Diceros bicornis minor: one gene and its partner. The main gene of each other region encodes a partner of the protein of the gene in region 2 in a complex. Links are inferred from orthologs where the notes say so. Each region holds a gene or a part of one and is shown on either strand. Other genes may lie near its edges. The genes, in order: HOXB2 and SATB1.

What was found.
Region 1: SATB1 (region 2) and HOXB2 share a complex: the UniProt entries of both Homo sapiens proteins name them as parts of the nuclear protein complex. The link is inferred for Diceros bicornis minor from reciprocal best matches to the Homo sapiens genes SATB1 and HOXB2.

The regions. Positions count from the first base shown.
Region 1 is NC_080757.1:37,430,208-37,437,673, reverse strand, and holds HOXB2 (homeobox protein Hox-B2), read right to left. Parts: upstream 2,801-7,466; coding exon 2,422-2,800; intron 1,660-2,421; coding exon 977-1,659; 3' UTR 828-976; downstream 1-827. UniProt on the Homo sapiens protein: Sequence-specific transcription factor which is part of a developmental regulatory system that provides cells with specific positional identities on the anterior-posterior axis.
Region 2 is NC_080741.1:24,481,387-24,488,921, reverse strand, and holds the start of SATB1 (DNA-binding protein SATB1), read left to right. Parts: upstream 1-4,098; 5' UTR 4,099-4,295; intron 4,296-7,535. UniProt on the Homo sapiens protein: Crucial silencing factor contributing to the initiation of X inactivation mediated by Xist RNA that occurs during embryogenesis and in lymphoma.

The DNA of each region.
Region 1 (7,466 bases), on a different chromosome or scaffold from region 2:
CCTGGTCTCCTTCCTTGCCCACTTGGAGACCAGTTACCGTCCTGGGCATGGGGCCTTCCTTCCCGAAAAAACCCCCGACTCCTACTCCATTCCTTGGCCCGGCCCATGTCCCCAGGCCTCGCGTCCCCAGGCTTCCTGCCTGTGGGGGTAAAAAAGCCCCTCCACCCCGCTTTGGGCACTGAGGCGAGAAGCCTGGGGAACCCTAGGCTCCCCCCAATTCAGCTGAACCTCTGCGCCCCGCGCCACGACTCCCAAGCCAGTCCCCAGGCCTCCTCTTTTTGCACCCTCTTCTGTTGGCGACACAGCCTCTCCTTCCACTCGCCCACCTTTATGTCTAAGCAGAGGCCTGGGAACACCCGCGCAGGGCCAAAGGCCGTCTGTTAGGCGGAGGCGAGGTGTTGGAGCTTCTAGCAAACTCCAGACTTTCTCCGGAGCTGCGGGCGGAGAAGCGGCGGCCAAGTAGGGGCACTTTTGTACCACCCGGACTCAGCCGGCCCAAGGCCAGACAAACCTCGCGCAGGTCCTGAGGGGATGCGGGGTGGGTCCCAACACAAACACTCGTTTTTGTATTATAAAGACATTTATTTAATCTATGAAAATAATGTACAATAAATACTTTTCCCTTTTCCTATTATTAAAGAATTTTAATAAATAATCTAAGGTCTAAAACTTAAAAAAAAGGGGGGGATAGGTTCCTCTAGTTGTTTTTTAAGAAAGCCCCCCCTCCCGGAGTTTAATTATTCCTGAGATTTCGTTGGAAGGAGTCTACCAAACGGAATTTTTCCGTTTTGATTTTAAAAAGACCCAATATTTTAGAGGGAGAAGAAACGAAGTGGATTAAACGCTAATTCAATAATACCTGAATTGTAGCAAAACACGTAAAGAAGTCTAAAGGACTTGGGGAGGAGGGTCCTCGGGTTTTCCAGCAGACAGCCGAGGGGGGCGGGGGTCGAAAGGGCCGGGAGGAGGAAACGGGTCAGGGGAACTGCAGGTCGATGGCACAGAGGGTGCTGGTGAAGAAGTCCAGCTCTTCCTCGGAAAAGGGAACCAGGCTGTCGAGCGAGCCTTGTAGGCTGGGGGAGAAGCCTCCGGACAGCTGGAGACAGGAATCGGCAGCGAAGAAGTTGAGGTCGGGCAGGAAAGGCGAATCCTGCCGCTCCGGGAAGGCGTCTTCTGGCAAGGGCTCCGGCTCCAGCCCGCCGGCCCCGCGCAGGGCGCAGCCGGGGCTCGGCGCACCCGAGTCCTCCACGCGAGTGGCCAAAGGCTGGCGGCCCGGGGCGCCCGGGGGCCCCGGCGCGACCTCGGGCGGGTAAGAGCAGGCGTCCCGCACCGCCCGCGAGGCCGACTGGCAGCCGGGGCTGGCCACGGGCTCCTCGGCGGGCTCTCCGGTGTCCTCCAGGGCTCCCGGGCAGGCTGGCTCCCCGTCGAGCGGCTCTCGGTGCTGCGTCTGCCGCTTGTGCTTCATGCGCCGGTTCTGGAACCAGACTTTGACCTGCCTCTCGGTGAGGTCCAGCAAGGCCGCGATCTCAACGCGGCGCGGCCGGCACAAGTACTTGTTAAAGTGGAATTCCTTCTCCAACTCCAGCAGCTGCGTGTTGGTGTAAGCCGTGCGCAGCCTGCGCGCCCCGCCGCCCGCAGCCTCCTGCAGTCCCGGGCCATCTGCAGGGAAAGCAGGCTCGGCGTCAAAGCGGACCGCGTCCTCAGCCCAACCTTAGATCAGCTGAAGTAAAGACTTACCCCATCTGCCAAAAACAATATCAGTAGCAACCCCCCTCCTTCCCGCCTACCTAGGCAGCTCGCTCCCACTGCTTCTCCGTTCTTTCCCGTCTCTCTCGCGGGCAGACCCAGCCCAGGTCAGGGCAAAGCATTCAAAGAGCCGCCCACGGCCCACGCAGGGGGTAGGGAGCGGCTCCTCTTCGCCCCCAGAACCTCAGAGCCCCCCTCCCAAGTCCTCCGAGTGGACCTCTCTATTCGGCACTTTCCAACTCAGCCCGGAGAGAGGGTTCGTAAAGAAAGATGGTTTCCCACCCCTTTTCCTCCTAGCTCTCAAATTCCCCCTCTTCTCTTCGATCTGGGAAAGATGGGACTGAATCTTTTCCTGCCCCCAGATTCAACCCCAGCAACAACACATTCACTCCTGCACACAGATAAAGGTGAAAACCTCAATCGAATCCTTTTCTTCTAGCATAGAAAAAGCTCTTCCCCAACCAGCTTCCAAAAGCTGCTGTAAGGACAAAAAAAAAAAAAAAATGCTAGCAGCGACCAGGCCTGAACCTCAGCGGTATATTCTGCTTCCTCGTCCCTGAAATCCACGGGGGCAAGGAACCCCAGCAAGCTCGCCACCTTTTCTACCTCCCCCATCGATCTTTCTCTCCCTCTCTTCTACCTGCCCCTCACCCCACCCCTACCCCTCTTACCGACCTGCTGGCGATCCGACCCCGGAGGCAGGGACGGAAGAGGCGGCCGGAGGAGACGTGGCGGATTGGCTGGGTTTCTTGGCGGATTTCTTCTCTTTCATCCAAGGGAACTCGGGGGCCAAGGGGGCGGCGGGGAGCTGCGGCGGCGGTAGAGCGGGCCCATCTTCGGCTTGCTTTTGGCTCCCGGGTCTCTGAAGGGTGGAGGCGCCGGGCTGGAGGCTGGGGAAGGTTTGCTCGAAAGGAGGAGGAGGAGGAATTAATGTCGACTCCTTGATTGATGAAGTTTGAAATGTCTCCAAGACAGCGGGGAAGGAAGTCAGACACTCGGCGAGCGATGGCTGGCTGTTTATAAACCCAATCTCCCTCTCAAATTCAAAATTCATGGCTTTCAATGGTGGGGGAGGGGGCCTGCTGGGGGGGGCGTCAGGAGGGAGGATCGGAAGGTACCCCCCCTCCTGCCCCCCCAGGTTAATGTGATGGAGCGATATCGGGAGGGGGAGATTTTGCTCTCTCTCTCTCCTTTTTTTTTTTTTTTTATTTTGGGCCTTTATAATTGTATATTGCTGATAAATACAAGCGTATGGGGACTCTCTCTATTAAACTCAGGACTCGGGTGAAATTGCAGGGAATTCGTGGTCACGGGACTGGCTTTGGCCAATGGCTCGTCTGGGCCTGGTGGAAAACAGAGAGCATTATTTGCTTTAATTGATTCAAAAACTCTAGAGGACCACGACCTGGACACCATGAGCCCCCCAGTCCTACACGCCATCTCTCCAATGCCTCCCTTTCTCCCGAAAAGCTAGAGGAACCTTTGTCTCATGCCCTTCAGAGGATGGGAGGTTATGGAAGCCTGGAAAACAGGAGAATCTAAGGGAGAAATCTTCCTTTTTGCCAAATATTTTTTAATAGTAAATTAATGCTTTCTTTACATACTCTCCCCCCTCACCCTCACCCTCACCCCCAACACACAAAAAGAAAGCTGAGGGAGGATCTCCATGTGGAAGGACAAGGTAGTAGGAAGAGGCTTCCACCCTTTGGGAAAGGTCAGTGTTAACGTGTAATACACTAGGAAGAGAGGAGATTTACAATCATCAGTACCACTATCCCCATCCCACCCCCCAAAAGCAACAGATAAATCTTGGAAAATCGACAGGCACTCCCAGGCTGACACAGAGGAGTGAGATAGATGGTGAGGGGTCCTTTTGGATCTCTGGCCTCTGTAGCTGTGTGGTGTCAGTTCCCTTCTCTGCCCTTCTCTGTGTTTGCAGTACTGTCCCTGCCCCTGGGTCCACCTGCCCTCCTCACCTGGTGGCATCTGCCATCATCTATGATCCCCGCCCCCCCAACAGGCAGGGTCTAAGATGCGTATGCACCCATTCAAAGCTCAAGCCTGTATCTGCATTTATATCCAGGGACATGAACAAGAATGAAGGTAGCCACCAATTGAACTTAGAGCACTCTCCAAGCTCAGGTCAATGTATGGGGGGAGGACTTCCCCCCTAGGACAAAGAGACTCCTCCTCCCATTTTTGCCATTGTGCTAGTAAAAAAAAAAAAAATCCTTGGCAGGAAAGAATTCCTTGAACATGGAGGGGATGGAAATAATGACCACTGAGATGATATTCCATTTCTGGCCCCTTGGGAAAGAATTTTTTTTTTTTAATTTGAGGGGATCAAGATAGTCTGAACTTCAGAGAGTGCTATAATTTACTGGAGGGAGGGGGCACAAGACTCAGGGCCCCAAGCGATCGGTGGGAAACTAGATCTCAAAGCAGAAAATGAAAAGTCGATCTGGGGGAAGATTTTTAAATAAGTGGGTCAGAGGGACGGAGAGGAGATGAGGCGATCAATCTTAGCCCCCTGACAGCTCCCTCCGATGGCATCAAAGAATTTGGCTGTTTGGGAAAGCAGAGGGAACAGCAGAAATTCCACATCCCTTTAAAAGGCCTGGGGGTGGAGGGTGTTAGCAAAAGAGAAAGGTGATTCCGGGAGAGCGGGAAACAGATGGGAAATGGGAACAGAAGGAAGGGCGCTGAGTTGGGTGGAAAGTTTGTCTGGAGAACTCCCACGGCTCTGGCCTCCCCTCCCCCTCCTCGCTCTCTCCTGCCCAGCAAGGAAGAGAAGGCTGGTTAGCAGAGAAATGGCAACTCAGCCCCCGAGCTGGAACTGGAAACTTTCTGTCAATGTAACAGTCCGTGGGTGGTGGTGAGTATTTAACAACGACAGAGAAGTCTGAGGGGAAGGGTGGGGGTGCAGGAGAGCCAGGATGGAGGAAGAGGAGCTGGAGGTAGGGGCTGCAGAGCCAGGGGTGGCAGGCGCTGGAGGGCTCAGAACAGAGAGAGCTGCTCTGAACTGGGCAAACTGGCCAGAGACAGTTGTGTCCAGCTCCAAAGCTAGCAATTTTTGCCATTTGGGGGTGGAAATGGGGATGTAGGTGGGGATGGGGTTGTGGGTGGGGGTGGACACAGAAGAATCCAAGTAGTTGTCTGGAAGTTGGGCATTGAGGCCTGAGAGGATTCTCCCTCTGGCCACCCCGTTGAGAAGCCCTGGAAGTTTTTTCACAGCCTCTTCAGCTGGCTGCAGAGCCCAGAACGCTCCTCTCAGAAACAACTCCGGCAGAGACTGTCCCTGCAAGAAATACGGCTTTCTCTAACCCTGCTGACAGATTTTACAGCCAGATTAGAGAACAGCAGAAAACTTGGGTGTTAAAAAGGGCCAAGAGAACCCTCCTTCCCAGAGACACCGCTTCCGCGCCCCTCTGTTGTGCTGTGAATCTTACAGAACAGATATTTTCCCCATGACTTTGGCTGCTTAGTTAGTGCCTGGAATTTCGCAGAGAGAAGGGCAGGGGACACCAAGCCAAGTCAGCCCTTATTTTTCTTGTTTGTAATTCCAGCTTCAAGCCAAAACTCTGTTTTTCAAACTGGAGCTGAATTCTCTCTCTTGGCCTGCCTCTCTCCTGCTAGATACATAATCCACTCCACCCCCAGAGCCAAACATGGCGCTTCATCTAGTTACATCATTCAGAAAATGATATTCAGGGAAGAGGAAGAGAGAGAAAGACAGACAGAAAGAAAAACCGCTGAGCGTTATTTGATCCCAGTCAAACTTTGCACGCTCTTATGCCTTTAAATTATAGCCTGACCCAATGCTAAATTGCTTGCTGCTTGAATGAGCCCAGTCCAGTTAAAATCCTACTTGGTGCTGGTGGTGGTGGTGGTGGTGGTGGTGGTGGGGAGGGTGTAGAATTCAGGTTGCTTTTTTATTGTTATTTATTGTTGCATAAAGACTGTAATTACTAACCTTGGACTGCCAGGATGCAACATAAAAATGAAAATCAGCCCTCGCTTTAAGGCTGAGGCCCTGGAATGATTCTCACCCACACTCCCCCCTCCCCCCTTCAACCACCACATCACTACCACCAAATATATGCTCCTAATTAAGCAATGCGGGTGCATCGCTTACAATTATGCAACTCTTCAGCAAGCAGCCATCGCTTCTCTTTCAACGAATTAGCTCCATATTTCAGCCGCCCTGTCTCCTCGCTCTTATCGGTTCCAGCGACGCGCGGTGACATTTCATCTTTGACAGACCCTCTCTATCCTCGTTCCAATGTGATAAAACTTTTATGGAACCCTGGCTAAGAAATGAAGTTTTCCCAAGGATGGTGGAAACAGAGCCTCACATTAGCCTAGGGACCATTTTATTTACGCTTGGATCCAGCAGCTTCTCCCACCCTCCTCCTCTCTCCTTTCCCTGGCGGGGGAAATAGAAGGCGCCTCCTCTCCCTCCGCCCCCAGTTTTATTTAGTGATTTAATTTCACTTTAGTTTTAAGGTTTGACCTGAGAAGCCTAGGCCTTATATATATATATATATATATATATATATATATATATATATATATATTTTTTTTTTTTTTTTAGATTAATCATTTTCCTTTGTTTTCATTTTAGACCCAATGGTGGTTGGGCTTCGGGTCACGTGACGACTTCTTTGTAGCTCCGGAAGAGAACTGTGAAGTTTAGCTTGCATGGAAGAAGCACTAATACGCCAGATTTTTTTGTTGCTGGGGGAGTGTGTTGGGGGGGGGTGGCGAGGAGGTTGTGGCCAAGGAGTGAGAAGACAAAAGGGCAATGAAGGAGAAAAATTGAGAGGCAAAGAAGCCAAACAAAAAGACCTAGAGAGAGCACCCAAGAGTCCTTTCCCCCTCAACTTGTTACTTAAATCTTAGCTAAAGAAGTTGGCAGCATGTTCCAGGCTCCTGTGAGTGACAAAAACTATATAAACCTGAGACAGCGAGGGGGAGGCAGGGGTCTGGGCAGTGAACAAAAAGGCCAGAAGAGGGTCTTCAGTGTCCTTCTTCCCTTGGGGGAAATTGAGCAGTCAGCAGCCTCCCTCTGCTATCTAAATTGGACTACCAGGACAAGATAAAATTGTTAACAGAAAGTTTATTCAAGAATTGTTTGACAGACAACCCTTTTAAGTAAGGAAAAAAGTAACTACGGAACAACAAAGAAAGTTCCAAGAGAGAATTAACTCTAATTCTACAAATTCAGGACTATACAGTGACAATTAGGAGCTGAGTTCATGCCTTTTAGAACTAATTACAATTGCTCATAAGTACGAATTTAACATAAATCTACAGCTCTTTTCTAGAGTACAATAATAACTAAAATAGCTGTTTTTACATGACAGGAAACACAATGTCCTTTATAACAAGTAAATACTTAAAAAAAGTACAATTTTTTCCCTCATATAAATACATAATGTAGGGGGATAAATAATACAAAAAAGAAAATATTTTAACAGGCTATAACCAATAAATATATATGAAAATGTTCACTAGAACACACGCTTTTTGAGCGATGCTGGACTCCTACAGGCCCAGGCATCTCTCACAGTTGTTTTTATATCCATTAAAATGTAAACTCTAAGTGCAACAAAAGTGTCCTGTCAGGAGGTTGAGCAAGGCACACAGGCCCAGCAGCAGCCCCTGCCTGGGACAGACAGTTTGTTAAAATATACCCTGTTTTCACGTTAAGTCAAGAG
Region 2 (7,535 bases):
TGGCCCCTCAGGCAGTGTTTACCCTGAAGAATGGGACATTTGGGGCACAAAGCGGCAGGAAGAGATCCTGTAGCTGGAGGCTATCATGTGGACAAGGGTCACTACGAGTATGGTAGTCCTTAGAGCTGTGCACCACAGGTCTCTACTTTTGGGCACAAGGTAGGCTGCACCATCTGGCCTCGTTGTGACGATTCCATGGAGCCAGGCAACTAGTCCTGGCCAATTAGTTGTGAGCCCAAATGATGCATGTCACTTCTGCCCACAGCATTTAAATGCCAGCATGAGACCCACAGAGTGATCTTTATTTTTGCCATAGCAACATAAAACATTCAAGATGGCAACTGTTTCATCAGCCTAGGACCCTGAATATGGAGACATGGGACAGACCAGGTGACCTGCAATGTACTCATAGCATGACCAGGAAAACAACTTTTGCTGTTACAGGCCACTAAAAATCGGAATTGTTTGTCACTTTGGCATAACATAGTCTATTCTGACTAATACAACAGATTTCCTCTGTTTTGCTGCAAACGGCAGAACTAAGACTGGTGGTCAAAAGTTTCAGAAAGACCAGTTCTGTGCAATTTAAGAAAAAAGGTAATACAGTGTACAAAGATGGAATGAACTACTTAGGATCTTACTCATTCATTCCCACAATGCACATCGAACTCTACTCTGTGCTAAGTATTCTGTAGATAAAATCCCTGCCTTTATGGAGGGAAGTGGTGAGTTCTCCTTCACCCAAGATGTTTGCACTGACGGCCCCTAAAAGGTTTGACGGGACAAATTAACTTTAAAAATACCCTCCAACCTGGAGCTTCAGCATGTCTATTTCCTCTGGTCTAAAAGAGAAAAAAAATCTATTTCCTCAAGTATTCCTTTGATTCAAATCATTTACTGATCCATTGAGTTGTCTTTTCACATTTTAATGTCATTTTTCCAGCAAATAAGTGCCTTAAAGTCCAATGCTGTTTTATCCTTCCTCTATATCTTTCTTATCCTATTTAGTAGGCAATACTTTATTGTCTATTCTCCTAGGAAAATAATCAGCTTTTGACACTAGCTATTATTAGTGACCATCTGATATGTTTCCGGTTTACTTGTCTTTAGTAAGTTAGATTCCGACTTGTTAAAAAAATCTAGGTGCACAAATGTATTACCCTAATAACTTTCCGGCAAAGTGCCTTTTTCTTCTGAAAGAAGCCCTAGCCCTGTACTATTGAATTTGTGGCCAATTACAATATTTCATTAACATCTTAATTCAGTAAGTATTTAATGTATTCCTACTATGCGCCAGGGGGCAACGTTTACATAAGAGTTTATCAAGATATGTTACTTAATGTACTGTACCCACCATTACACAATTCTGTATTATAATAGAACCTATGAGTTCTCTGTATAAGACCAGTTAGGGGGGAAAAAAGCAAATTCAAAAGGTTGGGGCAAAATGTTCCCTTGATTTAATGCAGGGGAACATATCACACCTTAAATTCTAGGGGCTTAGTTGATAACTTGGGGGAGTAGAAGAGTATGTAAGAGTGTGTAAGGGAGAAAAAATAATTCTTTTTCTGTATTTCAATTTTTATTAAGCTTCATTTCAGGCTTTCAGAATTGGAGAATCAGCTGCCTGCTACAAGAAATTGCTAATAAGCAGTAGTAATTAAAGACTGAGAATTTATTCTTTCTGTTCCAAACCTGATGTCATCCCCAGATGGAGATATTGGTACTGGTTAGGCAATTCAGCATTTTGGTAAATTAAGGCAGGAGGATTTGGTGTCTCCTGGGTGGTGTGGAGGCAGAAAGTGTTCCAGTAAGAAAAATTTGTGTTTCATTTTCTTTGCCCATTGCAATCATTTATACTTTTTTCCTTTGCCTTATAGAACCAGGAGTTGAGGTGGGCACTTAAGTCTTAAAAATCAGGGCTAGTACTCTAAAAACACTAACTCACAAACTTCTTATATTCTTATGTCTTTGGAATTGTTGTCTCTGCATAAATGACAATCAACTGAAAAAGACGGATAAATTCCAGCAAATTCAATACTGATTGATAGAAAAGAACTGGCATGTCAGAAAGCAGCATGACTACACTGTGCTACTCTCCTTTATTTAGAAAAACCGCACAAAAATACAGCACAGTTGATGTGTTTGTTACCAGAACTTGAAAGTAGAATCAGCCACTGTGTAAAAGATAAAATAAGACTGCACGGATAACAGGATTTTCCCAGCATGCTGTACTTTGTTCATAGACATCTGATAGAAGAGGACCTAACAGAGCTTTTAGGAAAAACTGAATTCTCAGCCCACAGTCACTTTCCAGGAACTTCACTGCAAACAGTACTCTGCGCTGGCGGGATGGAGATCTTAGCAATCTCACTCCTGCTTCCATAGTTTCCTTCTCTCTAAATACAATTCTTTATGGGGACTTAATGAGAGAGCAAGCTTTGTGTGAAAGGAACTCAAGAAAGTGCAGCTTCTAAAAATATACCGAGGCGGCTCTACAGTCCTTATTATTACTGAGGTTTTGCCGTTCATGCCATGAACCTAACAACTCCACACACACACAAAGAAAAAAAGTAATGACTATGTTTTTTCTTTCTGCAATCCCCTAAACTTTGAGTAAACAGTAGTAATTTTCTGTTGTCATACTCAATGCAAATTTCCTTAAAACGACACAACACATAACAAAAGACCTGTTAGCAACCTTAGAGCTGGGGGAAGAATGGTAGGAGGAGAGGGGCAAAATTGACCTAGGTCCAGCTTCTCCTGAGCCTGGGGTGCTGACCCTCCAGTCACTCTGATCTTGCAGACGTTTTTGGAGTTTCAGTCTCCTTTTGGGAAGGTTCCCAGGCCCCTTCTCCTCTGCAAGTCCCCCAATCATTAAATCCTTATCTCTCGCCGTCTCTGCTTCCAGGTTTTTGGAGAAATTGGACCTCAGCTTAGGCGTCTTTTTTCCAGTGGGTTGAAGTACAGCTGCTGATGGGAGGATAAATATTAAATGGGCAGGGGTGCGGCGTGAGGGTCTGCAAGAGGGCCCCCTCCTCCTTCCGCCACGTTGGGATGCAGCGCTCCTGGATGGGGCGCTGAGAGGGGCGAGGGTGGGGTGAAAGGACATGGACAAGGCAGGCTGTAAGGGAAGGAGGCCCTCTAGGAAAGATCATCTCGGCTGAACATGACAAGAGAAAAAAATTGGCCCACATGCCCCTAGTGGGGAGCGATACATCCCACGCAGGCTGGTTGGGGGGGGCTGCATCGGGGCTTCTCACCTGACTTCCTCCTCCGCTGGCACACACACTACAATCACCACTTCCCCCCCTCACCCCCCCCAAAAAAAAGCTCAGCCAAACAACCAACAACAAGAGGAAGCCGCAGGCGGCAAGAGGAGGGGTGCGCGCGGTGGGGGCCCCGGAGTGGTGAGGGGGCAGGGTGGCGAGCGTCGAGAACCGCGCCGCGCACCCCCAGGCGCACTCCCAGGCGCCCACACTTACCCCTGGCAGCTGAGGGTCCGGTCTTCGGCGCCAATCCCAGTGCGCGTCCCCCGCCCGCCCTCGTCTCTCCGGCCCGCCGCCCCCCACGCCCCGGCCGGCGCGCTGGGAGGGAGCCTGGGAGCGGCGCGCGGCAGCGGCGGCGGCTCGGGCTCGGCTCGGCTCGGGCTCCAGCGCGCCTAGTGGTGCCGCCGGCCGCCGAGGCTCCACCGCCAGGGGGAGAAGCCGGGGCGGGCGCTGGGGAGGCGGGTTGGGCCCTCGCCGCCCCTCCGGCCAGCCCGCGCCGCACAAGCTCCGAAGCGGCGGCGACGCGGGGTCCGCCGAGCCCCCGGGCGCAGCGTGCCCGGCCCGAGGAGCCGCGGCTGGATGCGCGCCCCGGGCGGCTGCGGGCTCCCGCGGGGGGCGCCCCGGCCGCTCCGGTGCGCCTCTAGACTGCGGGCGCGGCGACCGCCGAGCCGAGAGCAGCTCCCGCCGGCCCCTTCCCCCTCCCGCCCCCGCCGCCGCCCCCTCCCCCTCCCCCCTGTTAACATCTCCTCCCTCCCCCCCTTCTCTTCCTTCCCTCGGCCCCGCGCGCTCGCTCGCTCGCTCCTCGCCTCGCTCTCCCCTTTAAACGCCCACTTCGGATGGGGAAAGAAGACAACTTGAAGTCAAGTTGCAATTAACTTCCGCGGCAGCCGCAGCTCCGGCGGCGGCGGCACAAGAGGCAGAAGCCGCCGCCTCGGAAGTCCGACGCCGGCGCGCCCGCCCGGGGAGCCGTTCCTGGTCTCCGGCCCGCACTCGACAGCCACCGCCGCCCCCAACGCCCATGCCTGAGTGAGTTGTGCTCTTTTGCCTCTCTTTTCCGCCCCCCCACTCTTGCTTTTTATCTCTGTCTCTCTCTTTTTCCGGAATCGATCCAAACTTCTCTGTAGCACCCACCCCCGGCGCCCCTTGTTGGGGCGGCTCGGCTCTCCTCTCGTGGGCGCCCGGCGGCAGGGGTCTTCCGAGCCCCTTTCTCGCGCAGCCGGATCCCGGAGGGGTGGGCCGGCAGAGTGAGGAAGAGCACCCGAGATGGGAAACTTGAAGATGCCATTCGTTCTCTCTCAGGGTGTGGACACACTAACACACCTGCCCGACAGACCCTGGCTGAACAAACTCCTTCAGGTCATCAGTGTGACTCCTTTTGGAAGAGAAAAGGGGAGTGGAAAAGACCGAAGTCAGCAAACGGGAAAAGGGAGAGCCTCTCTGTGCTCCCCGGAGCCGGGCTGGCAGAAGGGTGCCCGCCGGAGTAGGCTGGGGGAGTGGAAACGTTCCCCCGCCGGATCGCGAGTGAGCTCAGCATCCTTCCTCGGTCCATCTCCGCCTTCCTCCGCCCCCCCACTGGCGCGGCTGGTTGGGAGCGGTGGTGGAGAGGGGCCTGGGAAGTTTGCGGCAACTTCTCCATCCTGGGAGGCACTCGGGCGCCGGGGCGCTCAAGTTGGAGCCGGGAGTTTGAAAGCCGCGGGACTCCGCGTTTCGAGCCCTCGCCGGCTGTAGTGAGGTCCAGAAGGGGTTCCTGGCGTGCTTGGAGGTTATGAGTTGGGCTGGAGGCGGGAAGAGGTGCTGCCCTCTTTGCAGGGACCGAAACATCACAGGTGCGGCCTCGGAGTCCACACCGTGTCTCCCTCCTGCAGTCCCGACCCGAGCGCGGCGGCCTTCTCCGAGCGCTCCACTGAGTCTCCCGGGGCGGCAGAGCGTGGGTTTGGGCAACCACGATGACAGGGACGAAGCAGGCAGGTGGCAGGTCCGGGGAGTGACACGCGTGTACCGGGGAAGGGCACTGAGCGGGACTCTTGGGATGACCTCAGGAGACGGAGAGGGGCTTAGGGCTCTAGCTAGAGGCTTTGGCCCGGACCTCCACCAGGGCGTTGCAAATTTCATTTACAAGTGCCAACCACAGGATCGCCTCTCTAAGTACCCTGGTTGGCAACTTTGACCTTTGCGCCCTTCCTCCGCGAACTTTCTCGGCGGCGTTCCGGATTTCCAGGCAAATGTTTTAAGACTTGGACTCCCATGATAGTAAAAGAGAAGGGAAAACAGAAAGACGTCTTATTCTCAGGAGAGAACCTTTCTGCCCTGGCTGGGGTTCCATGCTTGCGTTCCTGGAGGCCAGGGGACCTGACTTTCCCAAGAAGAGAAGGAGGGGGTAAGAATGAGTCAAACGCTACTGCTCAGTGTCAGGTTTGTCCTAAGTAGTCCCTGAATCTACAGTGTTTGTGCTGCTGATGGAGTAACTCATCCCGTTGAAACTTTATTGAAATTTACACCTTATCTAAAGTGGATTTTCCTGAGATGTCAGGAATGTAAGATTTATTCTATAGTCAAACGTAGCTGCAAAAAACCCGTACTTTAAGACGGAAGAAAGCCAAGGTTGAGGTGTTTGCTCTAAAAACCTTTAATCTGTTGTGTGGTACCAGTGCTACGATTTAGCAGCGGTCCTTTATTTCTATGCGTATTATTTTAGTAGAACAGTAGTACATTCATATACTGGCTGCTCCAGTCTGCTGGCAAACATTAGCATTCAAGCTTACATTTTTGACAAATGTGCAGACAGGAATAGCATGAATAGGCATCTTAAATATTAACAACCTAAGCATCTGTTGTGAAACAAATTTAATATATTTACTGTGTTTTTCTCACATTGTTAGAAAAGGTTATAATAAGTGCATAATTTCAACTTTAGTTAGCAGAAGTAACTGGCTGTATCTTTCACTACCTCTCCAAGTGTTTAACACAATCACCAGACATAAATACTTTAATTAACTTGGTTAGGCACATTATTAAATACACTTTAGACAATGTGCATACTATGTAAAATGGAACAGTAGCAAAATATGTATCCTATTTGTGCACATTTTAAATGACTATACATTTTGTAAATATACCAAGCATGTTTATTCTTCATCTCCATTTGACACTTATTACTTCATATTTTTTCTAATGGAAACAATATTTTAAATGTAGAGTTGTTCGGTCATATGTAATACATAATATGTAAACAGTAGCTATAAAATACAAAGCATTGTTAAATTTGAGTATGGCTACATGTAACGAGATTATACAAGAGAAATAAAAATCACTGCTCAATTTTGTATTCCTTTCTGAATAATGAATACAAATGATGGATGAAAAAACAACAAATAGGGATTTCCCTCCTAAAGTAACTAGTGCCTTAAAATGTGTGGGGGATGGGGGTGCGGGGCAAGGGGAAGGGGAAAAAAGAGATAGAGAAGACCTAAAGAACTTAGAAAAGTCTGAATAGTTATTTCCAGAATCAATGCATTCCTCATTTTCCCACAAGCTGAAATATGTAATAAATAATAGTGCTTTGTATATAAAAGTATTCAAAAGGAATGCCTTTTGTTCAGTTGTTGTAATAAATTAATATATTCTTTGGTTGATAATCTACAAAAGTAGTTCTTTTGTCTCACAGCATCTTAAACAAGAACAACAACAAAATGAATGTTGGTTGATTTCTGCAAGGAAGTCTGTTGCCAGCTATATGAACCTGCGATTGAATAAGATATGATATGCTGAGTGATGGTTAAGAAAGATTACATTAAGTTAGCAAAGACTGAAATATCTGGAGGAGATTTTCAATTATTTTTTCATGTGACAGGTTGTGGATTGTAAATTAGGCCTAAAAGTTCAGGTGACAGCCACCTGTTCCTCATTATTGTAAAAATCTTTTGGTTACAAACACTATTAAGCTAAACACAACATGGATATACAGCAGGGACTCTATAAAGCACTCTAGTGGTTTTTCATCTGCTCTGTAAATTTCCAGAAGGGCCATACATAGATATGCCCTTTACACAAACCATCATTTCGTCCAAGACGTGTCGTTTTGGATGACTCTAATATTGTATTAGTACTGGGATTGATGAAGTATGTAAAATAAATGCATATGACTGAATCAATCTTCAGACTGTCTAGACATGTTGTAGCTGAATGCAAACATATTTCTTAAACTCCTCTGTTTCCTTTATAATCCATTGATGACTTATCAGAATTTGTTCATATTTTAAATAGAAA